2 linked regions of the Oryzias latipes genome follow. The protein of the gene in region 1 interacts with the protein of each later gene in a pairwise test. Links are inferred from orthologs where the notes say so. Each region holds a gene or a part of one and is shown on either strand. Other genes may lie near its edges.

Region 1 (3,950 bases):
TTTTGGGATCGGGGTTCTACACACATCAGGACAAACACACAAATACATCTCAAGTGCGCGTTTGACACGTCTGCACTCCAGCTCTCAGCTGGACAAATGGACAAAGAGGAAGTTGTGAGACAGTCGTTGGCGTAAAGTTCTATGTCCTCAAATTCTCGCTATGATTGGCCTACAGCTGCTGTGGGGGCGGGGCTTGCCACAGCGGCGGCAGCTCCCATGCGCAGCAGCTCCTTCCTGTGGGTGAGGATGACGTCGAAGCTGGACTGCAGGCGGTTCTGCTGCTCCTGGACGCGGCTCTGCAGCGTGCGCACCCAGCGGATCAGCGCCAGCCGGCGGTACATGGTCAGCTGCGCCTGGTGCTTCTCCATCTCCTGCACCTTGAAGCGCTCGCGGTCGCGCAGTGTCCACACCGTGTCCATCAGTTCTGGCAGCTCGCCATCCGAGTCAGAGGACTGGTCACCTGGGAGGCACAGCGCCCCCTCCAGGTTGCTCGCCTCATCTGTCTGACCCAGTTTGGGCTCCCCAACCCCGATGCGGTCCCAACCTCCAAAAGTAGGCGCCTCTCCGCCGCTCTCCATATTGAGAGATGACTGACTGCCGCCAGACCGGCACCTCACCTCCGACTCGGAATCGCTGTCTCCCCATTCGTCATCCAGCTCCTCGTCCTCATCCTGCCTCCCGCCCCCTTTTTTCCCATGGTGCTCCTTCCTCTTGCCACTCAGATTCATCATCATCATCACCTGCTCTTCCTCCATCCTCTCCTCCTCTGCCCCGTCTGGGGGAACGCGACCATATCCGTCATCGCCGCTCTCGATTTCGGGGAGGGGCTCCAGCGTTCTCCAGCAGGGGAGGCGAGAACGGGGCGACTTGAGACCCGTGTTCAGCTGGAACCCCGAGGAAGGCGAGGAGGAACTCGGAGGGTCGCGCCCCAACGCCAGGTTGCGGGGGCGCATCTGGTTCCGGTTCTCGTCTCCGGGGAGGCAGTCATCCCCTTTTTCGGCCAGGAAGTTGAAGTTCCTGTCCTTGTCAAACTTGCTGTTCTGCATCAGGGGGGAGGAGCTATCGTCTGCGTCCTCAAAGGCGGATTTCAGGTCCTGATGGTGAAGCATCACTGACCTCGACTGAGACTCTCTGAAAAGACACAGAAGATGGAGATGCTGGGAAGAGCAGAAAAGACAGAAGGAATTCAGAGGAACATCTGAGTGCGCTCCTCGTCTGAATCTTTTGTGAAACTATCTGGCGGTAGGAGATGTCGCAGGAGCGGGAAAGCTCTTTCATCAGCGTGCAGAGAACAACAGGACCTTGCATCAGTGGTGTGAGAGCTCATGGGCAACTTTGAGCAGAGAACCTGACAAACAGTGATCGCAGTCATGTAGCCTCAAGCAACAGAAACAAATGCTGCTGTGAATTGAAGGGGATCTCCTCAAAGACCCACTCTGATGAAAATTCTGTAACATGTTCTTGTGCTGTCTTTCTCATAATGAAGGACATATATGAAGAAAATTAAGCTTGAATATGTGTTTCAGAGTTTTTCTTTATTCTCACTGTGAATCAAACATGTCGCCTTTTCTATGCACAATAGGCACATCTATCTTTACAAAAGTTCGGATGTTGTTTGTTGTCATGGCAAGACCCAGACACGCTGCCAAGGCCGCCTCTAGGTAGGTGGATGGGTGGGTGCCGCCCATCAAGGAGCGAAAGGCGGTGCCTCGGGGATCGAGTCGTCTTACTTTCGAGTAGGAAAATGAACTGTGAAAATAACTCATATTTCAGTCCTTAATGAGCGTAATACATTATCATATATATGGATATAGTTTACTCTGAAACGCTCAAGATGATCTTGATAGCTTTACAATTTTTTTTAATAACTTTTTTTCTTCATCGCAAGTTATTCAGGTTAGAAAATGACCAATCGGATGCTATAAAAGTAGGTGGGGACCAGCACCTTTGCTTGTTGGAAGGTGAGGCCTTCCAACAAGCTCACTCCCGATTGGCAAGAGTGGTTGCCATAGAAACACTGAATAAAACTGGTCGACGACTGTATCCCGAATGAACTGACTTCATTTTGTTGGAGCCAGAAATAAGCCATTTTCTATGGGTGACGTCCCTCAGTCCAGTTTTCATATACAGTCAATGATCTGACCTGCATGACCAAAGTCTGCAGCTGTAATCCCATCCAATGAGTTCCCAAAGATTTTCATCTGAATATTCCTGATCACAAAGGTCAGAGGTAATTTAAATCATGCAGATCGTTAAATTATTGATGTTTTTCATATTTTTGGTGAGGAACATTGTCTTAAGCACGCACCAATTTTTCTTCGCATTTACAAAATCTCCATAAATGTTCGCAAACATGAACGATGCAAATGCAGCCGTATGGCAGCTCCTAATCCAGGTCACTCGTTCCAGCATTAAAGCTCCCATTATCCAGTGCGCGCGCGGTACAGTGCACGCGCGGATGCTTGCAGGTCACGCGGACAATAAAATCACTCTTCGGAGAGAAACGGTATCGGTTCCGTTCCAGCTGTAAATGAGACAGGAGACGCGGGGGCGCGCAGGGAGCGCGCGGAGGCTCCATGGATGCCGTCACATTGTCAGCGAAGATCAATAAAGGCGTCCAAAAATGACAATAGAAGCATATTTTCGCTGAATGCAGTGAGATGAGTGCAGCATCCGGCGCGTTGCGTAACGCTCACCCCATGTCCGCGCGCGCCTCTAAAATCCCCTCTCATCTACAGCCCGCGCGCCTCCCGCCGCTCCTGCACCTACACGCAGTCATGTATGCCGAAAGAGTCTCGATTCTTACCTTTTCTGACTGCTTTTCTCTCCTCCACAGACGCTGCTGGACGCTGCGCCCTCCCAGTGTCCCTCCTCTGACACTCCTCTGTGATGTTCTTCCTCTTCCTTTCTCCTCCTCCTCCTCCCTTTCTGATTCTGGGAAAAGCCAAGCAGCGACTCAGAGCAATTTCCGAAATTGGGTTGAGCGCAAAAAGAGAAAACAATGTCAGGAAGAGCTGTCACTGTTTGTTACTGATATGTGGTTTTTAGGCAAAAAAAACATAAAAAAAAAAAAAAATGTCGTTTTCTAGGACATATTATCTGCACAGCAGCAGGTGTTTATTAGTAATTCATGTCTGAGTTGTGGGTGGAAATGTTGACCCGGAAGTAAGCCTCCACTGATATCCTATCATCCCTTTGTCTACACCAGGGGTCCCCAAACTTTTTCCAGGGAGGGCCACATGACGTTTCCATTCTCTGATCGGGGGCCAGGGTCAGTTTAAAACAGAAAAAGTGTGACAGTGGCAGGGGTGCCTAAATGTAAACTGAAAGCTTCACATAACCAAATATTAAAAACCCAATCTGATATAAAAAAACCCTCTCTGGGTTCTTCACAACAAAAAAAAAAAAAGTAATAATCAGCAGATATATAAAAGATTCTTTATGAAATCATTAAAAGCAAATAACCCTCTCTGGGTTCTTCACATAAAAAGTCAGGAAATATATTGTAAAAGTATTTTAGATATAAAATCGATAATAAACAAATAAATCTCTGTGGGTTGTTCTTCGGTAAATGTGCAGAATGTGAAGAATCTCTTCAATAACTCGTATGAGCAGTCTCTTTAGGTTTTTGTGTTCTTTCCTTATAATCCAGTTTTTGAGGTTCCAGGAGGCTGGCTTAGTAGACTCCACTGTTTGTTTTCTCTGATTAACTTCCTAGGTTAAATACCTTGCATTCTGGATCAATGTTTCCCTTACCAAACCATTCATTTTTCCGTTTTGATGTGGTGGTGGTGGGGGGGTCACATTCAAGTTTTCTGACTGGGGCAAATATTGGGCCATTTTTATTCAGGGGCCCGCCCACCCATAGTTTGGGAACCCCTAGTTTGAGGTCTACACTGTCTCCTGCTATCTTACAGCCCTAAAACTTCAAGCTAACATTAGCAGTGAAA
Region 2 (4,138 bases), on another chromosome or scaffold:
GCATGAGTCACCCTACTATAAGAAATAAATCTGAAGAATCATAGGGTAACTATGCAGCCCCATCTAAAATATTAAATGCTCTCGTGTCCTGCAGAGGAACAGGAGCTTCCAAGAATGTTGTTGTCAAAGAAAATTAAACACAAGGTAGGTCAGTAGTGTCATGTGAAGATTGGCACTAAAATAACCTGCATCAGTGTAAAAGTGACAGATTACAGAGGTAACACGTTCAAACTGACACTCTCATCTTAACAGGAGGGAAAGACTATTAATGAAAAAAAAAGGTCAAACTCATATTTATCACTAGAAAAGAAAAAGAACTGAAGATTTTCTCCTTAAGGACACTGAACATCTTTTGGTCATATCTTTAACCAACATAAAGATCTGGCTCTTTAAACATCCCAAAGCCGAGCATTTAGTTCTGTGGACCACCTCAGAAAGTGAACAGGAGACGGGTAAGATGAGGACAGGGCCCTGCCGGAGCACTGAGCGGGCAGAAGCAGCAGAGCGTTAAATGAACTGCTTGTTTTAGATGCTCTACAGTGGATCTGCTCTTTTTTTTAGCCACAGTGAACAAGTTAAAAAAATTGTGTTCGCAAATTTACACCTAATATTAAAGATGTGAGAAAAAAAACATTCCAGATGTCTTGGAGATGAAAGGACCAGTGGTTTGATGAGGCTGAAAAAATAAAGAAATGGGTAGCTAAATTCATTTTATGTCTGATGGTGTTCTTTAACTATTTCCCTGTTTGTCTTTCTACTGGACAACAGCAAAAGAAACAAGTGTTCAAAGGGGTTTTGCTGCCAAGGATATGACTGTCATCTATCAGCATGACAACACAGGTTTGCTAAAAGAGAGAAAACAAAAGCAGAAAAAAAAGAAGTTGCCAACTAGATATGAAAAACTGACTTTTTAAAGGTATGAAAACACCTGCTACAGATTAGCATTAGTCTCTGCACAACCTGTCAACCTTTGCGGAAGCAGGAACATTGCACGTAATTTTACACTACTTTGGCATTTTTAGAATGAATTGATGTTTGGGGACGAAATGTTGAATATATCATGTTGCCTGATTATATTTAAATCAAAATTGCTCAGACAGTTATTTTACTATACGTTTATCATTAAAGTATTGTCTTAATTGGACTACATCTAACAATTTAGGGAGATTTAATAACCTTTTGTTATACACCTACGGTACTTTCCATCATATCCTGACGAAAGATGGATGGGCAAATAAAAACTATTTCTGACCTTTTTACTGACGTTCAGATATCATCAATGATATTTTAATATTAATGCTTTTCTAGCTAAAAAAAATATATTAACTAATAAAACATCAAAGAAAACATATCTGTGCATTTTGCTTCCCTTGATTCAACAAAATCATGGCACATGTGATGCAAAAACATGAAGAAAAAGAGAGGCAGCTCAACTTTTATCTTGGGCTGAGCATTTCAAACAGCGTGTGATCAGTCATCACTCTTTGACCTCTGCCTGCTGTGTTGCATCAATCACTGCCTGGCTAAACAGCACTCTGTGCAGAGCTAGAGAGGGTGCTGAAAAGGTGAGACATCCATCTGTGATGATGCACCCCTCCTTGCACACATACACTTTCACCTGAAGTGTTAAAAGAAAAACAGATGATGGCTGGATCCGCCTGCATAATCGTGCATGTGAGTAAGTGCTGAGAAAAACATGAATATTAAAGAAAGAGCTGCATTACTGGTTCAAATTTCGAAATAAAAATCAAATAACTCCTTGATTCTGTGGGTGAATAGACTCTGGTCCAGTTTTAGTGCCAACAGGTGACAGTAAACAACAGAAACAAAATAGGGAGAACAATCTTAAATACACCAGTCTTCAGGGGATTTTCAGCTTGCATTCCTTGGGGTTAAAGTTTGGTTCTTTCCCAAAGCCCCTGGCCTGATTCTTTAAAGCATTTCAATTTATTTTAAATAATCTGGTTATAGTTTCAGTCTGCACATGTGATGCACCTGCTGTTTCCTCCCTGCATGCTCAGAAACCTCATGTTTGCAGCATCACGATGCTGGATGATAACATCTGTGCACAAACCTTCAGTTCAACCGTGGCGCAGGAGTCACGCAGTATTTTCTTTTTCTTTAATATGCAATCCGCGTAAATAAAATCCTGCTTGTGCCTTTTTAGAGGACCACGGAGGGAGAATCACTTACACAGGAGCGATGGAAGCAGAATGACCGCCAGTCACAGCCTCTTCATCCAGATTCTGAGAGAGGAGGACGCAGAGAGATGCGTCTATCCAAGCGTCTAAACTTCCTGTCAGCCTCTCTCGAATACTTTTCCCTCTTCTGCCCCCTCGGCTTCTTTATTGTTTCTCCGTCAAGCAGGGAACGCAGGAGCCGCTGAATGGATCACGAGGTTTGTATTAGAGGAAGGAGGAGATGGGCGCACGGCGTGCGAGGTGAGTGGTTCCACTCCCAACCTGCATCCCTCCTGTGTTCCTATATTAGTGAAACAGCCGCAGCGCGGAACCACAATCGCAAAGGGTCGGAAAAATTGCTGTTTCTGGTGTCAAATCCTAGTTGTCAGAGCTGCCACCTGGACATCCTGCGCTCCACTGCTGTTCCCGCATGAGGAGGAGGAGGAGGAGAAGGAGGAGGAGGAGGCGCCGTGTTTGCTTCATTCACAAAGCCTGTGATGCTTTAATCAGCCTCTGAGAGAGTCAGGAAAACATCCCAGCATAATATGTGGACCAAATGAGTTCATGACCCCACTATTGTGCCTTTGCTTTACTTAAATCTGGATGCATTAATAAAGGAAATGGTCCTGCAGCACAAAAAAGCTGCATTTTTGTTGCATCATTTTAGCTGTTTCAGAAAATTGATTACATTTGTGCTCATTTTTGTGTGCAAAAAGCTGCAACCCCATTTGACAAAACAGCTTAGCCAGCGTTTTAACTGCTGATCAAAAAAGCCCCATTTACTTGTTGCAGATCAAATCCAGTGTTTTCCACAAGGTATGAGACCCCACCCCTATGAGTCATCCTCTGCTCACTGAAGTTACACCTTCAGCCCACATCATAATGTGTGCACAATGGTTAGTGCTGTTCCAGAGGTCTTCCACATGTTTAAATCTTAAAATGCTCACTGTAAATATTTGGATTTTACGGTTCATATGGTTTCTGTTTTATCATGCAGTAGGATGAAAACTGTAGCACCAGAAAGGTGTCTTATTTTGGCCACACTGATCTATTGTGACTTCATTTAACCTCAGCTTGGCTTAATCAAACAGTGCATGTGTCATATAAAAGTCAATACCAGAAATGCTTTTTCATTTACAAAATGAAGCTGCTTTTTCTGACACAAAATGAGAATGAAAAAGCAATCCGCCAAAATGCTTTTTCATTTTCTTCTTCAACACTGCTTATTCAGTCACTTAATTAAAATGATAATGAAAATGGTTATTTGACATTTCATTTTCAAAAGGTTCTCTGGTAAATGTGTAGCAAAATTCATTTAGAAATGTCTAATTTGATCAATAAAATAGATTAACAGAAATGCCATTTCGTTTTCAAAATGTAACTGCATCAAATGACTCAAAATTAAAATAACAAAATCAATACTTCAAAATGCTTTTTCATTTTCTACTTAAAAACCGCTTATTCTGTGTCATAATTAAAACCAAAATGCAAAGAGGGGATTGTATTTTCATTTTAACATCCACCCTGCGAACATTGTCGCATTATTCAATTCGACTTAGCATTTCCAGGTACAAGGTAATTCACCAACAAAAGAAGATACTGAATGATTTTGAATTGCTGGGGGAAAACAAAAACACTTCAAATAGCAGTTCTTTTTTCACTTTTGGCTTCTCCCATCAGGGGTTGCCACAGTGAAACAACTCTCCCTTGAGGATTAGTTGCATGGTTAACTTGGCAATGTTTTTATGCTGGATGCCCTTTTCTGATGCAACCCTCTCAATCCAACTGGGTTTGGGACCGGCACAGCAGCAGAGAAGGGAATAGGGAGCATCCCGGAGTCGAACCCTGGTTACACGGACAGAAGGTGCCGCAAACCAGCACGAGCTAAACTGGCCCCCACTTCAGATAGCAGACAAATGTATGTTAAAATGTATGTTAAATAAGTATGTTAATATTGT

The links.
Region 2: the proteins of c11h1orf216 (region 1) and myrip interact in binary tests that used the Homo sapiens proteins (3 or more experiments, as listed by UniProt). The two-hybrid records come from large-scale screens. The link is inferred for Oryzias latipes from reciprocal best matches to the Homo sapiens genes C1orf216 and MYRIP.

What each region holds. Positions count from the first base shown.
Region 1 is NC_019869.2:20,028,148-20,032,097, forward strand, and holds the start of c11h1orf216 (UPF0500 protein C1orf216 homolog), read right to left. Parts: upstream 2,801-3,950; 5' UTR 2,702-2,800; coding exon 2,697-2,701; intron 1,132-2,696; coding exon 159-1,131; 3' UTR 1-158.
Region 2 is NC_019878.2:15,054,341-15,058,478, forward strand, and holds the start of myrip (rab effector MyRIP), read right to left. Parts: upstream 2,801-4,138; 5' UTR 2,194-2,800; intron 1-2,193. UniProt on the Homo sapiens protein: Rab effector protein involved in melanosome transport. Serves as link between melanosome-bound RAB27A and the motor proteins MYO5A and MYO7A. May link RAB27A-containing vesicles to actin filaments. Functions as a protein kinase A-anchoring protein (AKAP).